4 linked regions of the Drosophila melanogaster genome follow. The protein of the gene in region 4 interacts with the protein of the main gene of each other region in a pairwise test. Each region holds a gene or a part of one and is shown on either strand. Other genes may lie near its edges.

Region 1 (5,761 bases), on a different chromosome or scaffold from region 4:
AAGGACATGATCCATCCGCTCACGGATCGCAAGCTCAAGGAGAAGGACATCATTCCCCTGCAGCGAGTAAGTACATCGCGAACTGTGCAACTATTCTGCATTGCTAAGGTTTCTCGACTATTTCACAGGGCGGCACTGGCTACGCAACGACGAACGACCACCTCCAGGCCAAGGAAAAACGGCCCATGCTCCAGGCCTAAGACGAATTTATATAGCCGCCAGCTACTTGGGAGCACTTCAATAGAAATGTAATCGTTTTAGCACTAGCTAGTTTAAACAATCAATTATTTCTCCAGATTTTAAAACAATTGTGTATCATAACTTATACAAAACTTGGGTATTTTATCTGTTCCAATTCTACCTTTTCGTTTATTGCAAGACGAAGTGCATACATACTTATTGTTAAATAGGAAAAAACAAAATAAATACACTGATACTCGTACCACACAACCAATTAACCAGTAGTCCGAATTTCTATGGAAACAGCCCCGTCAAATGAAACCACTGCCAATCTTGGGGTTAAGGTATAATATTATATTCTTTATGTATAATTGTAACGTGTAATGTAAATTGAAGAAGCTGCAGCTGGCGGAATGCGGGCAGGTGGCCGAGTACGTCGTCTAGATACGTCGCTCCTGCTGGTGGCTGGTCGTCCACGTCCAGTTCCACGTCCACTAGGCCGCCTGCACCGACTGCTTCTGCGAGGAGCTGATCTTGTCGCCCAGACTCAAGGCCATGCCCTGTGTGAAAGGCGCGAAATACGGAATACGGATTAGAAAGTTGCGCATGACCATGTGCAGATGTGCGGCTGGTTTGTGCTCGACTCTCACCTGACTCTTGGCGCGAATGCGTATGTGTCCCGTCACCTTCGAATCGGGATCATCGACGGGCTTCTCGATACTCAGATTGGCCAAGGCATTCTCTCCGAAAATGGACCTGCAAAGTGAGCGGATGAGTTGTGATGAGAATATGATGGCTACTCCATAGTGGACAGCTGGACACTCACTTGGCGTACATGTTGGCGGCCATGAAGCCGCACTGGCCGGACAGCGCCTTCTCCGGCGTGAGGCACTTCATGTTGGTGCTCTTCAGCAGGTGCTTGAGATATTCGTGCAGGTCGGTGAAGCTGGTGTTGACGGTGACCTTGTTCTCCCACTCGAAGTCCTGCCACATTTGACGGAACTCGGTGTCCGTGCAGCTGGCCGGAATTATGTAGTCCATGATGTCGATGTGAATGGTATTGAGGACCACCACATTCGTGTTCAGGGCGGTTTCGTAAACTGTTGGTTAAGCGCCATAAGTGAGCGTGAGTGCACTTTAACAGCGAATTCCGCAATTAGCAACTCACCAATATTGCCGAAGATGATGCCGTTCTCTGTGGAGGAGACCTTTACGTTGGCCTTGATATTGCAGAAGTCGTGCGGAGCCAGGACCACTGGATGCGGGCGCTCCACCAGCTTAAGATCGCCCAATGTGGCCAACTCCAGTGTGCAGTTCTGTAGCGTGTCGTCTGAAAGTGATTTCATGGATTGAAAGCGATGCCCTTTCGCCTAAAGATGCACTACTCACTGGTCTGGTTGACGATCAGCACGTCCAGGACAATATCGTACTGATTGACATTGACGTAGGCCTCCGCATAGACGGGATCCGAGAAGCCAGTCAGTTGGGTGACCTTGTTGAGCTTGCTGTTCGGCGAGGCCACGTCGCTCAGCTGGGCGTTCTTGCTGCCGGCCAACGCCTGGTTCAGACTGGATTCGAACACATTCTCGCCCAGCTGATTGTCACGTCCGTTCGAGAGCTGTGCAAAGAGCACCGGATCGTCCGGCTGCACCTTGGCGGTGGCCTTCTGCTTCTCCTTCAACATGCGCTGGTCCTCGTCGTGCTGCGCATCCAGCATCTTGCCCAGAGCCTCGCGGCAGTACAGTGTGAAGACGGAGATAGCCTCCGGCGTGCGTTCGCTCAGCGTGCGCAGGCAGACGAAGATGCGATCGGTGTCATCGTTGGTTATGGGCTTGCTAGGGAAACCGGACTTGCCCAGGTGCAGTATCGAGCTCATGATCAGCATTACCTGCGTGGTCAGACGATTCTGGGCACGCGCCTCCGTCTCCAGCTCTGCGTAGCGCAGTGCCAGCTTGGTCAACGTGGCGGATAGAGCGGCGCCGATGAAGAAGTCGCCGTCCATCAAGTACTGACGCAATGGCGGACGTTTCTCCGCCTTGGCCACCCTGCAGAAAGCATTAACCAGCGTTAGAATCAGAACTGCAAACAACTATTTTGTAGGTGCTACGTATTAAGATGACTCATTGCCGAACAATAGATAATGGGCATGTCTAGCTAGAGGCATACTTATCAGTGCAAGCTGATGCAATGCCACAAGCCTCGAATGCCTCATTGGTGGCATGATATACGTACACGTAGCCATTACTTACGGGGCCAGACTGTAGGCACTCTGGGTGGCATAGGTTCCATCGGAGGTGACCTTGTTGCTGGCGTTTCCGGAGCCAGAGCCCTCTGCGGCGGATCCAGCTGCATTGCCGCCTGCGGATCCCTGCTGCTGCTTCTGCTCCTCGGTCTGGTCGCCGGCCAAGCGACGCTGCTCCGCCTCCACCATGGGCACTTCGCCCAGCGTCTGCTGAATGACGGCAATCACCTCCAGGATTTGCGAGCCCTCCACGTATTCACCCAAAATCCAAACGGCGGCGCGATGAATTTTGGAGGACTTAATCTGCGGGAAGGCCTCAATTAAATGCTCAATGATGAGGGCGCGCAGGGCGGGGAACTTTTGGATGGCTTCGCGTATGAAGATAAGCACATCGGCGGCGGCAAGTTCGTTGGTATCCGAGAGGAATTCAACCAGTACGGGTATAACATTGGCGGCCACATCGGGAAACTTGATGGAGCAGGTGTGCAGGGTGCGGACGAGCAGCTGCCTGTACTTGCCAGTGTCCTCGTGCTCCACATTGTGCGTCTTGGCCACCTCCTTCTTGAGGACCAGCACCATTTCGCCAATATTACGCGAATAGACCAAGTCCAGGGCCAGCGCGAGTGTTTTCCTGCGCACCTCGATGTCTGGTGCGGCCAGGACGCGCAGAACGTCCATCACCAGATCCTGCATCACCTTCTCCATGCCCTCGTGCTCCTTCATGGCCACCAGGCGATCGAGCACGATTAGCTTGACGTTGTTGTCGCTCTCCTTGACCACCAGTTCGATGTAGCAACTGGCCGCCGCCTTGATGGCCGTGGGCGCCAGCGAGAGCGTAATCAATGTGCCAGCGGACTCGTAACGCACCGCATTCGAGCTGGAGTTCAGCAGGTTGTAGATGCAGCGTATGAACCGCGAACGCTCGGCGGGATTGGCATGGCACACCTTATAGATCAGCTCCACGATGACCAGCTGCAGTATATCGCCGAAAGTGTGCACCTGATCGATGCAACTGGCCAGATAGTTGAGCGCTCGCTCCTGGTCCGCATGCAGTAGCATAAGGAAGGCGTTGCGCTTGCAGCTCATGTCCTGCTGCGTGTCCAGGAAGCTGGCAATCAGCTCCGGCCCATCGGGCACCAGCCAATCGAAGTTCTTGTAGATGGTAAAGATGGCCAGCACGGCATTTCGTCGCACATACGAGTGCCGGTGATCCAGGCACGCCCGTATGGCCGGCATCAGTGGCTCCAGCAGCTCCGGCTCCTTCAGCTTGCAGAGGAAGCGCAGTGTCGAGCCGCGCAGAAACTCATTGGGATGCTGCAAATCCTTCCTGTACGCATCGCACACCAGTATCATCTCCTGCAGCAGCTTCCCATCCGCCGATGTCTTCGGCACAATTTCCCAGAAGATGAGCAGCAGCTTCTTGATCGTGTGGTTCTGCACCGGCAGGACGAAGCGTATGATGGTCATGATCAGGCCCGGATACCGCTCCCCATTCAGCAGCAACTTGATTACCCGCTTCAGCGTCTCGATCTTCACGTTCGTGTCGCCCTTTTCGAGATCGCGCTTCAGTTGCATCTCGTTGGTCACCTCCAGGTCCGGCGAGTTGATTATCGTGTAGCACGGCACTTGCGACGTCATCGTGGCTGCCTATTCCGTTCGCCTGTTTATCCCGATAATGCCAATTGACCAACTTATTTCCTAATTTCCAAATTCAGTTTTTTTTTGGTCTTTCCGACGTGTCACAATGCTAACAGGGTGTGACCGTGCGCGGCGCCGTGCGGAAATGCCACGCGAGTGCTGCCAGGGCTGCGCAGTGCTCTAGCGGGGACGCACACCGCCGGCCAGCAACCGCTTCGGCTAACAGCGGGCTGTTGAGCGCACTTGGCGCGCTTTTCAAACGTTTTGTTATTTGATTGTTATTTATCATTCTTATCATTTTTTAGTTCAACAAGTTTAACATTAGAATGTACAAAAAGCAGATGCACTTAAGCTCCACAAATGTATAGCTGGAAATTTACTTGCATTGCAGTGCTTGCATCTACAGAGCGAGTGCTGTTAAGTTACAGTGTCTTTTTCGCGCCATAACTGCAGTTTGAAATGCTATGTAACTATGTAAATGCATGCCAAAAATGTAAAAAATGAAAAGTGTTATAAACAAATTATTCTACATTAAGTTAAAGCTAATGAATTTTTCATTTCATATATAACACATTTAACAAAATATTATTTTGTTATATACTTTTATTTAAAATAGTAAGTATCACTGTTTCAAAAATGCCATTCGATTTGCAATTTGTACTTAAAATAAGTGAGTAGCAGTGCTTCATTTTTATCGCATACAATTTCCCTGATGAATGCCTTTTCCGTGCGGTTAAATAATGCAACGAAGCTTTTGCGCTGACAAACACACTTTGTGCTGGGCGTAGCTCCATTACCTCCCTTCTATTACCTGGCTGCAGATAGCCTCCGTGCCAGAGGACTGCTGATAAGAGGCCACCTCGGACTACTCGGAAAAATCCCCAACCCATTGCGATCCGGGTAAATTCCCGACCGCTCCGGGGCTCTTGACCTTGCCCAGTGCGAAGTGTGTGTGTTTGCATCTGCGGCACTGCCAAGCAATCTAATTCGGTTTCTGGTTTCGATTCCACTAGAAAGATCCCCGCCCACGCCCACGTCCCAAGTCCCACGGCATTTGCCATTGTGATCTCGTTTTGCACTTCATCATTCAATTGCCGCCCCCGCGACTCATTGCCCAGCCACGCCCCCTCCCTCAAAGGAGGAGGCACGGCCTGCATTTTAAGCAGTTCGTCAATTCTCTGCTGGATGTGGACAGTTCTCCACAGCTCCTCTTCGTTGCTCTTACTGCAACGAGCCGGTGCGGGTGACTAGCTAGGTGATCTGATCCCATCGTGGAACAGGTTCTGTGCCCGGCCTGAATAAACAAATGCCCTGATAGCGGGGCGAAATTGAAGTATATAAAACTAGAGACGAGTGCGAAAGCGAATGTGAGTGATATGCGAATAGCGCATACTCTCACTTTTTGCAGAAGCTTAAATGAGCTCCAAGTTTATCCACTCGAAGTTTATCCCCTGCATTTTTAGGAATATAAAACAATTTCGCATAACATATAAATCTAGATTTTGCTTGCAAATTATCTAAACGCAGTGCAATCATTTAAATTATCATAATAAATACTTGCACTTTTCAAATTGGCCATCTCAAGATCGTAGTTATGCGTCCAATTAAAAATTCAAAAAATATCCCCTCGGAGTGTATAAATAAAAGGCAATTACTCTTAATTTGTTTACTTCCAAGAAGAGTGAATTTAAAGTAGCCGAA
Region 2 (3,594 bases), on a different chromosome or scaffold from region 4:
CAAACTGTGTTTTTATTAAAAATGGTGCCCATAATATATAAAATATGTCGAGATTTGCTTCCTTTTAAATGAATAATTTAACTTGGTAATTTTCCACTTTGTTATCTACCGTTAAAAGCTTTTTGAAGAACAAGAAATTACAAGAGCTGCCTTTCTGATGAAAATTTCAGAACCAAAACGAAATTCACTCTAAGTTTCTAATCTATTTCACCAATGAATTTAAGTCTGATAATTTCTCACTTTTTCCTTACAGATTTTCAAGCTTCTTTTTTGAGGCCTTCACCACATAAAACTAACGAGCATCGCGAAAATATTCTATCTTTTATTATCTTTTTTTGTTTGCCTCTCGATTCGGAGAGATTTAGCAAAAGAGGAAAGAGAATCACCCCTGGCATCAAAGAGAAAATAACGAGCATCAAGAGAGCCCACTTATTCAATTGCAGTCCCTATCCACAATATCCACTATCCACATACACATAGTAATATATGTAAATGTACACCCATCTAAAAACAAACTCATTTGTATTTTGTGCATTCAAAAAAAAGAACACTTATTTATTGTCTTTGGAGACAGGCGAATTTGGAATTGTTGTTTGTGAACGTGAATATAAATACTACATCATATGTACGGGTATAAAAACGTGAATATCAGGCTTATTCGAAGTACTTCTTGAACTCCAGGCATCCGGCCCAGTTCTCCTCCCATCCGGGAGTCACCTTCTTGGCGTTCTCGTACCACCTGTTCACATTGGCGTACTTGCTGATCTCGAATTTGGCCACCTCGAATGTGGACACGGTTGCCACCAGGGCAATGTCGGCTACGGTAAGGGAGTCACCGGCGGCGTAGTCCTGTCCCTCCAGGAAGGTGTTCAGGAACTCGAAGGCGGCCTCGATCTTCTTGAAGGCCTCTGGATCGGCGGGCGCCTTGGCGAACACCTGTGGGTAGTAGTAGTTGGCGAAGCTCTGGTACAGCGTTCCCATGTCGAAGTACAGGCGCTGATTGATCACGGCGCGCTTCTTGGGGCACTTAGGGTACAGGGAGTCGGTCTTGCCGTACTTCTCCACCAAATACACCTGGATGGCGCGGGACTCCCACAGCGCGAATCCGTTGTCCACCAGCGTGGGAATGGTGTGCTGGGGATTGATCTTCAGGAACTCCGGCTTCAGGTGCTCACCGGCCTGCAGGTTGAGCAGCTTCTTGTTCAGCTCGACGCCCACGGCCTTGGCGGTCATGATCACGGAGCGGCAGGGGGAGGAGCCGGGCAGGTAGTAGAAGTCAACCATTTTACTGTAGAAGTTCGAAGAACTATCATTTAGTTACAGTGCTCGCAATAAATAATTTGTAGCCAACTTGTTAAGAAATATTATTATCTTCGCTAATTTCTAACCAACGGTTATTTAAAAGCTTAGGGCATTCATTTGTATTTCTAATTTGGGTTTTAAATGGAAGAAGAATCAAGTTGAAAAGAAACTGAAAACAATTGTGAGTCCGCCATATTTGATTGGAGTGAACAAATCTCCAACTTCTTTTCAAATTTAGATGTGAGCACCAAACTTTTTCAAGCATATCCACAAGCGTCGCATTCATATTTAAATTAACAATCTCCCCCTTCTTGAGACCCAAATTGCTTCTGTATTATACACATTATCCATATGGCATGCAAACAGAATAGATCTGGATGCTAGAAAGATATGCCACAATTAGACGCGCTCTATAATTACAAGTTCAGCAAAAGCGGACTTTAATTGGGCCGCCATTACAGAAGTTCACTTGGCTATGATGTCATATCGGGGCTATAATACGTTCAAATGTTGGTAATTTTCCATGCTGCCAATATTTCCTTTTATTTTTGACCAAACACAGGCACACAATCACAAAACACAATATATATAGAAATTGCTGTGGGGAACTTACATTTTTTTCTTCTGTTGTGAAACTCGCGATGTACACTGTATCAAATGAAAAGTAGCACTGAACGGAATTCGAAGAGCGAGCCCACTTTTATAGGGGCCGGCTGTGGTCGCCACAATGCCGGCAAACAAGAGTTGTAGCTTGAAGCGCCCCGCGGGGCGTGGCAAGGTGGGGAGAGAGGTACAGAGAGAGAGAGAGGGGGCTGCTAGTTGTTGTCGTGCCTGGGTTTTTTTTTTGTCTTCTATTATATTCTGACTTGCCCACACATACCCACTAATGGCGGGCAAAAATGTGACGTTAGCGGCGTGATTAATACACTGTTGTGTGGCCATGGGTGTGTGGAGACGATTGATAGTGTGTGTGTGCGTGCTCTGGAGGAGGTTGCACTCTATCCGTTCCCTCATACACCTCCACCATACCCCCGCAAAAGAAAGCTGCAACTTTCTAATGATCCTCCATTGGAACGAAGCCTTTTACTCGCTTAAGAACAAATTTTGTTACATTTCTTTATAATTTCTGATTTTAACAAACAGATAACAAAGAAGATACAATCCTGCCATACAGGTATTATTAATCGTAGGGTATTTACACATCGACTTGCTAAGATTAGCAAACACATAAGCATGCAATCGATTAGCTTGAAACACAATTTTGCATTTCTAATGAACATCTGTGCGCCTGAAAAAACATAAATTCTTTTAAAATGCAAAAAAAAATAAGTACAAACAAATAAGCAGGCAAACAGAAACCAGATAAGAATTCAAGCCGGCCGGCAAACATTGATATCAGGCAAACATATATGTATGTATGTACATATGTACATATATAGCAACAGTTGTCGAGTATTTCCAACACACAAGCAAATCGCGAAAGGCTCATACCGTACTAATAAGACCATAAAAATATAACCGTTTTTCGAATTATTCAATATACTTTGACTCATAGTAATAATTTTAATGGGTAAGCCCAAGCTATGGTAGACAAATAGTAGTAGATTAAATGATGAGTCAAAGGCACATGCAAATTCGAAATTACTGGTACACATTTTCAATGTAACAATATGGATGGGCTTAGTCCATATATCGATCGACTTTTATTGTTTGTGTTTGTTATGACGGCCTTGGGTTTTAATAAGTAATTGCTGTGACCATATAACATGAAAAGGAATACTAGACTTTCATTTCTTGGAAGTATTTGATACTATCAAAGGCGAACACTTGAATATTCCTGCTACACTTCGCTGGGGGTATTTAATTTCCCCAAAACAAATTCGCTTTTATCAGTTTCACAATTCGCAATACCAACTATCAGCATGACCGGGCAAAAAAATTCAATAACAAGTAGGAAAAAATGGAAAGAGCATTTTCGTGGGCGACACGTCAAACAAATTGCGCTCTTAACGTCGAGAACAATCCACAAAACGATTGTGAAATCAAAAATTCCGAACCCCAAGTTCCGAGAGTTACTCATTTGAACATAATGCCGAAATCCAGCTGAATCATGGGAAACACGAGATCGTAAGTATAAGTTCGCCAATAACTGGTTGGGTTAATTCACCAAAAAGCCGGCCCAAAAGGTAGCGTAAAATGTAGAGAAAGGTCACTGTGTTTGCCACTGCAGATCAAAAAAACCAGTTGGACGGCATTGCCAAATGTGCGTCACAGGAAAATAAAGTGAAAAGC
Region 3 (5,001 bases), on a different chromosome or scaffold from region 4:
TATCGATTTGTTGAACAGTTCCCTTTTGAAATATTTTGGAATTTATGAAAGCACTTTTAGAGATGCAGTTCTGGAATTTCATGTATTAATAGTTTGAATGAGGCGGTAATATGGTAATACTCGAACTAACCTACTTTAAAGCCCAAATTTCCTAATACAACACCCCATTTGAAGCCCTTTTTTTCAAAACACAGCCGACAGCTTTATAAAACAATGCTTTGTAGTGGCAAGAAAAACCCGAGCATATGCAGCAAAAACAGGAACAATAGTTGCTGTTCTGCATATAAAAAGCAAATTTACACTTTTTTGCCCACCGTTTTTGCACCGCCCTTTCCGAGTTTTTCGAATGTGTTTGAGCAACTTTAAGGAGCGGAAACGCAGAGTTCGCGATGGCCGAGTAAAGTTCACATGTCAGTCCGGCATCAAAGTGTGACTTGTCGAGTGTTTTCCCCGATTTTCCACCAGTTTTTCCCTACGACCCGCGGTGCTTTTTGTCCAGGAAATGCAGGCAAAGTGTGAACTGTGCATGCAGATAGAGATCGCCCAGTTAAACAGCCAGACTCGCTTCAATTAGTCTGGCTGGTCGGTTAGACAGTCCGCTTTTTACGCGCTTATTATTAGATTTTCCAATTCGGGAACGGTAATGGGGGGCTGGCTGGCTGTCAGACCGGAAAACACCGAAAAACGCCGCTGGCCAGCGAGTGCAATGAATAATCAGACGTGGCCAATTGAGTCAAATCAGAACCGACGCGACTATCATCAGCCATCAGCCATCATCATCATCATCATCATCAAATAATGGGCCCAGCGCAATCAGGCAGTTTTCATTGTTTTATTTAAGGCCCCGCAATAATTGCCACGCACTTTGACTACAAACTGCAGTCACGATCACTTCCATTCCATAGCCATGATGACGATGACGACGAGGTGGCCATGATGGAGCACCCGCAGCTCGCGTCCGACCAGGAGCGGAGAGTCACCATCGATGCCAATTAAGGCGAGGGGCGGCAGTTAATTGAATTAAAATGCGACACAAAATGGTGTAGATAAAGTTGCCACCGCACATGGGGCATAAAACAATGAGGGGTGGGGTGGGTGGTTTGAAATTCCTCCATTAAATAAATCGTTTTTGAATACACATCGCTGGCTGCTAATGGGGAATTTGCTCCCAAGCGGAATTCGCGTATTTCTATTGTTCACGGGTTCAGAAGTTCATGTTTATGGGTTTACAGTTAATTATAAATAAATATATGAAATGTAACTATATATACACTCATATTTACTTTGATGTTAAGGCTCTAAATTGAAAATATTTTCGAAAGAGAGTTGAGGTTGTTTTTATTTTTTTTGAAGTAAACCTTTTGAGTTCTATATTCTCTCCTATATATATTTTTATTTTCCCATTATTTAATTATGCCCATGCTGAATCCTCCATTGCAAATGAGTTTAAAATATCGCTTAGGACAGGACAGTTAAGCACATGTAACAGATAAGGTTTATCATTTCCCCTCTAGGAAGTACAAAAACCGAAAACAAGCTGACAAAAACCCCACAAAGAACTGGATAACGACACTTACCTCCACCGAATCCTGCTCCCGGAAACATGCCAGGCGGTCCGAAGGGCGGCATTTGTCTGGTTCCTGGCCACGGAACTCCACCGCCCATTCCCGTCCAGGCCACCGCCGCGGCGGCCAGTGCACTGAAGGGGGTCGGGCGGATGGGCACATGACCGGAGGCCAGGGCCGCCGGGGAAAGTATCGTGGATTGCATGTGAGAGCCCGGCGGCGGACCGTGCGGCGATTCCAGCGACTTGCCGCTGCCGTCGAGGCCGTCGGGCGTGGAGCGCGGCGAGTCGTCGGCGTTCATGTCCTCGATATCCACAATGGAGTCCTCCTCCTCGTCGTGATCGGCCTCGTGGTCCTGCAGCATCTCCTCGTCGTACTCCAGCTCGGAGTCCGTGTGGCTGCCCAGCGGCGAATGGCGTTCATTTTTGGCGGGAGTGGAGGCCACATTGCCCTGCGATCCCAGTGCGGATCCCAGTGGCGTGGAGCTGGGCGTGGAACTCGTGGAGGCGGGTGGCGAGTTGGCCCGGGCGTCCGCCTGCTGCTGCTGTTGGCGCAGCTGGGCGGCCATCGCCTGGTGCTGGGCATGTGCCGCCGCAGCCGCGTGGGCGGCCTGCAGCAAGTGGGCGTGGTGCGCGACGGCGGCGGGATGGAAGGTGTTGGCGGGAACTTGGGCGGCCGCACTGGCCGGCGGAGGCGGCGGCGTGCTGCTGGCCTGGGAGATGGGCGAGGTGGCCGCCGAACTGGTCAGGTTCTGGGGTCCATCCGCCGCCTGGTTGGGTGGCGTTCTGGGCCTCGTGTCCGCCAGGAGAGAGGCCACACTAAAGTTGCTCAGTCGGGAGGTGGTCTTGTGCAGATGGTGGGCCGGCGGATGCACTGCGGCCAGCTGGAGCGCCGCCGCCTGCTGCTGCTGTTGCTGCTGCTGCTGGTGTTGCTGGTGCTGCTGCAGCAGATGCTGCTGATGGGCCAGCAGCAGTGCCGACGGCGAGGTGGGACTGGCCAGGGCATTCAGGCCAGCCGGGTGGCTAGGACTCAGGTTGGTCAGGTTGCTGCTGGTCATGTTGCCGCTGCTCATGTTGCTGCCGCTGTTGCTGCCGCTGTTGCTACTGCTGCTGGTGATGATGAGGTTACCCGCGGGAGTGTTACTGCTCGGCGGCACCGTGGGACTGGTCATCGTCTGGCGCAGACCTGTAACTGTCATGCTCGCTGGGCTGAGCTTTAACATAAAGCCTTTCGATCGTTTGTGTAACTGTGGCTCGTTAATACTGTGCTTTAGGTGCGCCGGTTAATTGGTTCATTGAGACATGGTCTGCTGTTAATTTGTTTTGATTATCTTTCAATTAATGCGCTCGTTCGTCACACGCTTGGGAAACACAGACACACACTGTCACACGCGGCGTTTTGTATCTTTTCAGGGGCTATTTATTTCCAGAGAGAGACACGTCCTCTTGAGATCACGTCTGTTCTGCGACTGAAACTGTGGTCGCAGTTTCGGATGCACCGCTGCCTGCCACACAGATACTCACTCACACCGACGCACTCGACGATTGGTGGTGGGAAACCGGCTGTGTAGAGCGTGCCTCTCTCTCACTCCCGTGGTGGAGTGCACCGCGTGCGACACCATTTTTATTGGTTTCGAGACTAGCTCGCTCGCTCTTTTTTTCCGGTGTGAGTCTTGTATTTCTCCACTTTTCTGACTTTTGTTCCGCCTTCTTTTCTCTTTCGCTCTCGCTTCAGTGTGGTGAGTTTGCCGCACTCTTGCCGTACAGACAGAGATGGTGTAGCTGCCCCGCAGTATAGCCGTCCCTGTCGCACGCCTAATTATTATTGAATAATTCAATCTTCAAAGCGTTTTTCCACTTTTTTTTCGAGCTGCTGCGCGTATTAGCATTTTATAACAAGCAGCGGCGGCAAACGCCTGTCCATTTCCACTTTGGTTTTCTGGCTTTTCCTTCCATCTCCATTTTCCCTCTATCTCCCTCTTTATCGTTTATGACTTCATTTGGCCAAATTGGCGTGATTTTTTAAGCTTTATGTACGCCTAATATGTACATATATATGTATGTATATATAGACCAGGCGGTTTTTCAATTTTAATTGGCACTCCTACATGTCCTTAGCGTACAAGAACAATATAATAAATAATAAGCCCATCATTATCAGGGCCCCAAAAGCATCAAATGTCGGGTGGAGCGGCATTATCGCAAAGCTGCAATCTCGGTCAGGAAATTATGTTTTTTCTTCCCTTTTGCTCCACCTCAGGAGATAAGCCATAAAAATCGGATCGGTCCACATAAATCGAACGTCCCGGGAACCCGGCCGAATCAATCACATACATATAAATGTGAAATATGCAGGATTATATAGAATTTTGCCAACCCCCATAAGCTCCATAAATTGCAAGGTTGGCGGGTGGAGTGAGGGAGGGAGCGGGAATACCGCACCCTTTATAATTCTCGCTCTACAAATTAAACTCATTTTAAGGATTATTATGTGAAATTGTTGGCTTGAAAACTTTTGCCAGCCATTGTTCAGCTGCTCCTTTGTTTTCCGCTGCTCGAAGGACCAAGTTGTGAAAATGGGAAATGGGCGTCGGATTGTGCGGGTTCGCTCGGCTTTTCGGGCGGCAAGTTGGTGAAAGGATTTTAATGACAATTGCCAGTGGGTGGAAAATAAAGAGCTCAATTAGAACAGTTGACGAATGGCTGTGTGGTTGCCTTAATTAGTTGCAAACGATGCTGAAAATGAAACGACTCTGCATGATTGGGGAAATTCTAGCCAATTAATTTGAGTTCTTGCCTAAATGGGTTGGGTGAAATTTAGAAATATTTTTATATAATTTCTGAACTTTTTTCAAACTCTTTCCGAAATCGTTTTTAATTACACTTAAAAGAAACCAAGACAGTAAACTCGTTTATGAACTTCTCACATTTCCCAGCCATTCAATTAACACTTGATATACCTCTTACCACTTTTCCAACGCCCCTCTTGACTGATTAAAATTTTTCCAACTTCCCAAAACTTGAGCTCTTCATTACGATGCCCGGCAATTCCGCTTTCTTTTCAATTAAACATTTCGAAATGGCGGCAAAATGCGATGAGAGGCCCCTCAGCTCGTTAATATCATTGTCTGCGTCTCGTTTTCTATACTTTGTGCCGTTGGCATAAACAATTATAGCCAATTACAAATATTAATTTCTCAGGCCAAGCACGTCGAGCGTTTCTTCTTTTATTTTCCACTACTTAACCACCATCATTATTCATTGCGCTTTGAAATACGCAAATGAGCGCCGAAAAAAAGCAATACAACAACGAGGCGCAAATTAATTTTTCAATAAACATCATAAGCGAGCTCCAGCCCCCTCCACTCCCCCCACCTATTCTCGATCCCACCACTTCGAGATGAAACGAAACCGGCAAAAGCAGCAGCAAGTCGGCC
Region 4 (4,466 bases):
CAGGACACTCGGGGGATGCCATCGAAATGATGAAGGATTTCTTGATCGGTCAACTGCCCACCAAGCAGCACATTTTTCGCACTGGCAAAAACAAGGTTTTGTCCCTGGGCATACCGGAATAATATAATGCCAGCCGATTTTGCACCGATCGCCTTCGCCGCCGTCCTCCATGTCGTATATGTCTATATATATATATATTTTTAGAGTATTCATCGACTAGTTTTCTAGTTGTAATCCGCTTATTTCGAATTCCGCTAAACGGCTTTTGCTTAATCATCAAAAACCATACAGACAACTATGTATGTATATTTATATGTTAAATATTTTTGCCAAGACTTGAAACGGATCTAAGATTATATTATTTTAAATTTGATTGTGCTCTTTGATGTTTGTTATCTGATGACTATAAATGGTTGGTTGGGTTGGGCGTGTTTGAGTATTTGAAACTCTTATTTTGTTTGTTTGTTTGATGATTCTGAAAAATGACAGGCTTCTATCAGTGCTGATGGGTAAACCTAAATGACCAAACCCTTTTCCAACGACATACTTTCTACTTCAATAATACTTTATTCGGTAATATTCATCTTACACATATTGGTTGACATTGGGTAAATGCATAAATAAGAAATGCTTATGACAAAAATAAATATCACTGAACAGATTTTCACTTGGCTGCTCTGATAAGAGGCTCCTTATCAACCTCCTTTCGTCTGACTAGTACACAAGTATTTGGCATTTGCTTTCCAATTGACTTAAAAGTATTGCTCATTAATGGATTGCTTATCAGTTGAACCATAGTTTATGGTGGCCCCCACTCCTATTTAACTGCTGCTAGTCGGTGGTTCGTTGTGAGGTCCTTGAAGAAGAGCCTGCAACTTGGCAGCCGCCGGAAATGCACCCAAATCCAGTGGCGCTGCTCCCGTGGTGCTTTGTATATAGGCCAAAAGTCTAAAAGTAAAAGCATATATGTTAATAATTCCTATTGAGCGTGGTAATGAACTACGTTACCTTCTCAACTCCTCGAGAGCATTTTGCTGCATCAGAATGTAGTTCTTAGCCAGCAGCAAGGTGGCTATTTTCGACAGCTTTCGCACAGAAGGCGAATGGGCATAGGGAATCACACTTCTCAGCTCATCAAGGGCATCATTCAAATCGTGCATCCTTCGTCGTTCCCGGGCATTTATGTTCAGCCTTACCGTCTTTCCCTGGCGGTTTTTCTGCTTGCCACTGTTGGAGCCACTTCCGCTGGCGCCACCACTGGACACGGCCACCGTGGTGGTGCCACCACTGATGGCAATGGCTGCGATGGCGGCGGCCGTGGGACTCAATGGCTTCTCCGGAGCACTGGGCCCTGGTTTGTTCTCATCCGTCGGTGGCTGCTGGGACATGCCCATTCCCTGGGCATAGAAACCACCCAGACCAACCGATCCAAGTGGCGTCCGACGGCCGGGGACGCTTTGTGGTGGGCTGGCGGTGGGTGCTGGATGCTGGCCACCAAGCATATTGGCTGTAGGAGGTATTGGCATGTGTCCGTGGTTGGGGAGACCGGGAAAACCAAAAGCAAGATTCGAGGGATCCATTTTTTTGTATTTTATGGGACTTTTCCAGCTGTGAAAAAAAGGTTGAAGGGATGTGTAATCTTTTAGGGTAGTCCTTGCAAATCAAAGTTATTATGATGCAGGGTTGCATAAGAAAACTAAAAAATAGGGGTGAATACTCGTATGCTCAGCTGTTCGGTAGCGCCATCTGTCGGAATTTTATGTATTTAATAGGTTAGCAAAGCTTTTTATAGGTGGAGCATCTGTTTTGTGTTTTAACCCGAAATGGTTTAACAAATTGCAAACGTCTGTCAGGTATTCCTTAAATTTAATTAAAGCAAAATAATCGTTAAGCCTTTCGGAAATTCAAAGCCAAAATATTACGCGGTAGTCAGATTAACAAGATGAATATAAGCTTATCAAAGCTTTTCATAGGTGGCGCTGTGTAGTAGTCCAATTTAAGGGATGGTTTAATATGATGTTTCATGGCGAATACAATTTTAGCGGCATTAAATTTATTTAGGAGCGCAGCACTTCAGAAAACAATAAACTTTAAAATTATACGTCAATATATATAAATAATAAATTTGGCAATTATTAACCCAACGAAATGGATTATAAAATATGCAAAATCGACGCAGCACTTTATTTAACTTGCAGTTAATTCATGACACACTTAAAAGATTATTAATTTAAATTAACCACAAATCACAAGTTCGCCGGTGTACGAAGGGGACGAAGAGCACAGAGCACGGAGAAAGAAATTGCGGATTTAAACATTTTTAAAAATCGCACGCACCACAAACCAGGCAAAAAATTCAGATCCTGAATCGCAATCGGAATCGATGCGCGAGTGTGAGGTGCCCGGCAACAACAGAGACGACCGCGATTTTGTGGTGGGTTATAGTAGTCGCATAACGATTTTCCGATTTTCTCCGCTCACTCTCTCTCTCTCTCTCCCTGCCTCCGCCTATGCTTTCCAATCGCCCGTCTCTTTCGCTCTGTCAGCGAGGATGATTATAAACTTTTTGCCACCGACGCCACCGTCGCCGTTTGGTGTTAATCTCTTTCTGCAGAAGGAATATTATGAGCCACTATATAAAATGTGGGTCGGGTGTCGACGCCGGTGGTTGACGTTTAGTGGTTGGGCTTCGCATAATGCAGCATCCACACCAATACATACAGCACGATTATTACCAATACTCACAAAGGTGAATGAGTCACAGTTTCAGCACTAAGAAAAAAAAATGATTACTAATGATCGAAACCTTTTTGAAACATAACATATAGCATCAGATATACCCTACACAAAATAATAATAATTTCTAACATAAATCTAATCTGCTATTGAAAAGTTAACAATTACATATTTGCATTTAAAAATGGTATAAAATCATACTAATTAATAATCTATTCATTATTAATCATTATTTTGTATATTAAATAAAAGTCTGCATTTTTCAATTGGTTAAGTAATAATTAACTATAACCACACTTGATTGTAACGAAAACCAAAAACTTTTGTTATCTCTCAAAGTTGCATTTAATTGTTGAATATTATTTAGTGCAGTCAAATTTTTTACAAGTGTATGAAGTTTTTAATGCCTTTGCCCTGCCTGTCCGAAAATTCACTTTTCTTGTTGTTCAGGATTTTTATCGCTTCGCTCCTTTTCAACCCTGATGGCCCATCACCACCCCTCGCACCCTGAATCCGCCGGGTCCGCTCCTTTGTCTGTGATTTCAATTTCCATTGAAACTGAATCTAATCACATGCTCACTGCCTGCTGATCCTGGGCCGCCTGGCCAGTCCTGGATTCCTGTCCTAGGGGGTTGAACGAGGAACAAGGACCACGAATAGCCGTCCATAGCCCGTGCATCCTAGTATTTCGCCTATATGCCCATATACAGCATAGCTCAGAGGATGCCGCATCTGCATGGCATTCTCTACGTGAGCGAGTTTGTGCGTTTGCGAGTTGCCTGGAAATTATGGTATCGCATTGTTCAAAGCTGGAACAATGCCATAAATGGCACATGCCAAATATTTTCGTTGGCAAAGGCATAAGCTAGAAAAAGGTATGGAAAATGATAGGAAGTGCTAGGCAGATCTAGGCCACATATTTATTTATTTGATTGTATTTATTAGTTTTAAGCAATCTTTGGGTGTGGGTATATTTTTATTAATTTAAATATAAAAGGACACATTTTTCAATTAAGAGTATTATAAGAGTGTTTTTCAATTGAAATATTTTTTGAAATATTTAGAAATCCGCTGTTTAAATGACAACCTAACAAAATTATCATGAAAATCAAACATTTTTTTAAAAAGTCGTCCGATGAAGATTCTTTGTTAGTGCTGCTCTGATAAATATTTAAAATCAATCAATAGAGAATTTTTTTAATAATAAAATTTAATCGAAAAAATCTGTGAACATTCTTTTTTTTATCGACTTGTAAATTGTTAAGTCAAAATTTGAAATAATTTTTCGAAGATGCCTCTTTTAAAGTTATAAACTTTGTTATTTTACAAGTTCCATAGCTAAAGCAGATGTTTATTATCCAAAGCCAGCATCTCCATCCTCCTGTCAACTGCAATGCCCACTAATGACTTTCCACACTTCGGGCCTCGCAGGACATTTATGTATAAGTGGCGGAGTGTGTGTGCGTGGAGCTGCCTGCAGTCGTTTAGTCCTTAGAATAAGTCAAACTACGAGCACGGGCGACAGACCTAATGACTTCGCGCATGATAAATTTAATAATTTGCGCTGGCAACTTTTCCATTTGGCCTTTGTTTGCGCTTCCCTCCTTTCGTAGGGAAAATTATTGTGTCAGATGTTCGGGGCAGCAGTCACCGTATGCCATTATTTTCAATGAAATCCGGAATCTGGACAGCCCCTCTAGGCAATGCACCATTTGCTGCGTGATTGTGAG

The links.
Region 1: the proteins of Oli (region 4) and betaCOP interact in a two-hybrid assay, tested with the Drosophila melanogaster proteins (one large-scale study listed by BioGRID).
Region 2: the proteins of Oli (region 4) and GstD1 interact in a two-hybrid assay, tested with the Drosophila melanogaster proteins (one large-scale study listed by BioGRID).
Region 3: the proteins of Oli (region 4) and Dr interact in a two-hybrid assay, tested with the Drosophila melanogaster proteins (one large-scale study listed by BioGRID).

Annotation. Positions count from the first base shown.
Region 1 is NC_004354.4:18,381,034-18,386,794, forward strand, and holds betaCOP (coat protein (coatomer) beta), read right to left. Parts: upstream 4,210-5,761; 5' UTR 4,061-4,209; coding exon 2,430-4,060; intron 2,226-2,429; coding exon 1,570-2,225; intron 1,511-1,569; coding exon 1,349-1,510; intron 1,281-1,348; coding exon 1,007-1,280; intron 937-1,006; coding exon 831-936; intron 741-830; coding exon 675-740; 3' UTR 516-674; downstream 1-515. Other genes in the region: CG6179 (uncharacterized protein), read left to right, coding at 1-66, 129-200. UniProt on the Drosophila melanogaster protein: The coatomer is a cytosolic protein complex that binds to dilysine motifs and reversibly associates with Golgi non-clathrin-coated vesicles, which further mediate biosynthetic protein transport from the ER, via the Golgi up to the trans Golgi network.
Region 2 is NT_033777.3:12,367,288-12,370,881, forward strand, and holds GstD1 (glutathione S transferase D1), read right to left. Parts: upstream 1,982-3,594; 5' UTR 1,916-1,981; intron 1,307-1,915; exon of another isoform or gene 1,289-1,306; 5' UTR 1,285-1,288; coding exon 655-1,284; 3' UTR 530-654; downstream 1-529. UniProt on the Drosophila melanogaster protein: Conjugation of reduced glutathione to a wide number of exogenous and endogenous hydrophobic electrophiles. Has DDT dehydrochlorinase activity. May be involved in detoxification.
Region 3 is NT_033777.3:29,554,422-29,559,422, reverse strand, and holds the start of Dr (drop), read right to left. Parts: upstream 3,038-5,001; 5' UTR 2,788-3,037; coding exon 1,578-2,787; intron 1-1,577. UniProt on the Drosophila melanogaster protein: Plays a key role in the specification of proneural and promuscular cluster formation. Required for the specification of dorsal and lateral muscle progenitor cells. Regulates development of peripheral nervous system derived from lateral neuroblasts.
Region 4 is NT_033779.5:17,587,354-17,591,819, reverse strand, and holds Oli (olig family), read right to left. Parts: upstream 2,637-4,466; 5' UTR 2,241-2,636; exon of another isoform or gene 1,609-2,240; 5' UTR 1,581-1,608; coding exon 1,009-1,580; intron 949-1,008; coding exon 822-948; 3' UTR 553-821; downstream 1-552. Other genes in the region: CG6870 (uncharacterized protein), read left to right, coding at 1-122.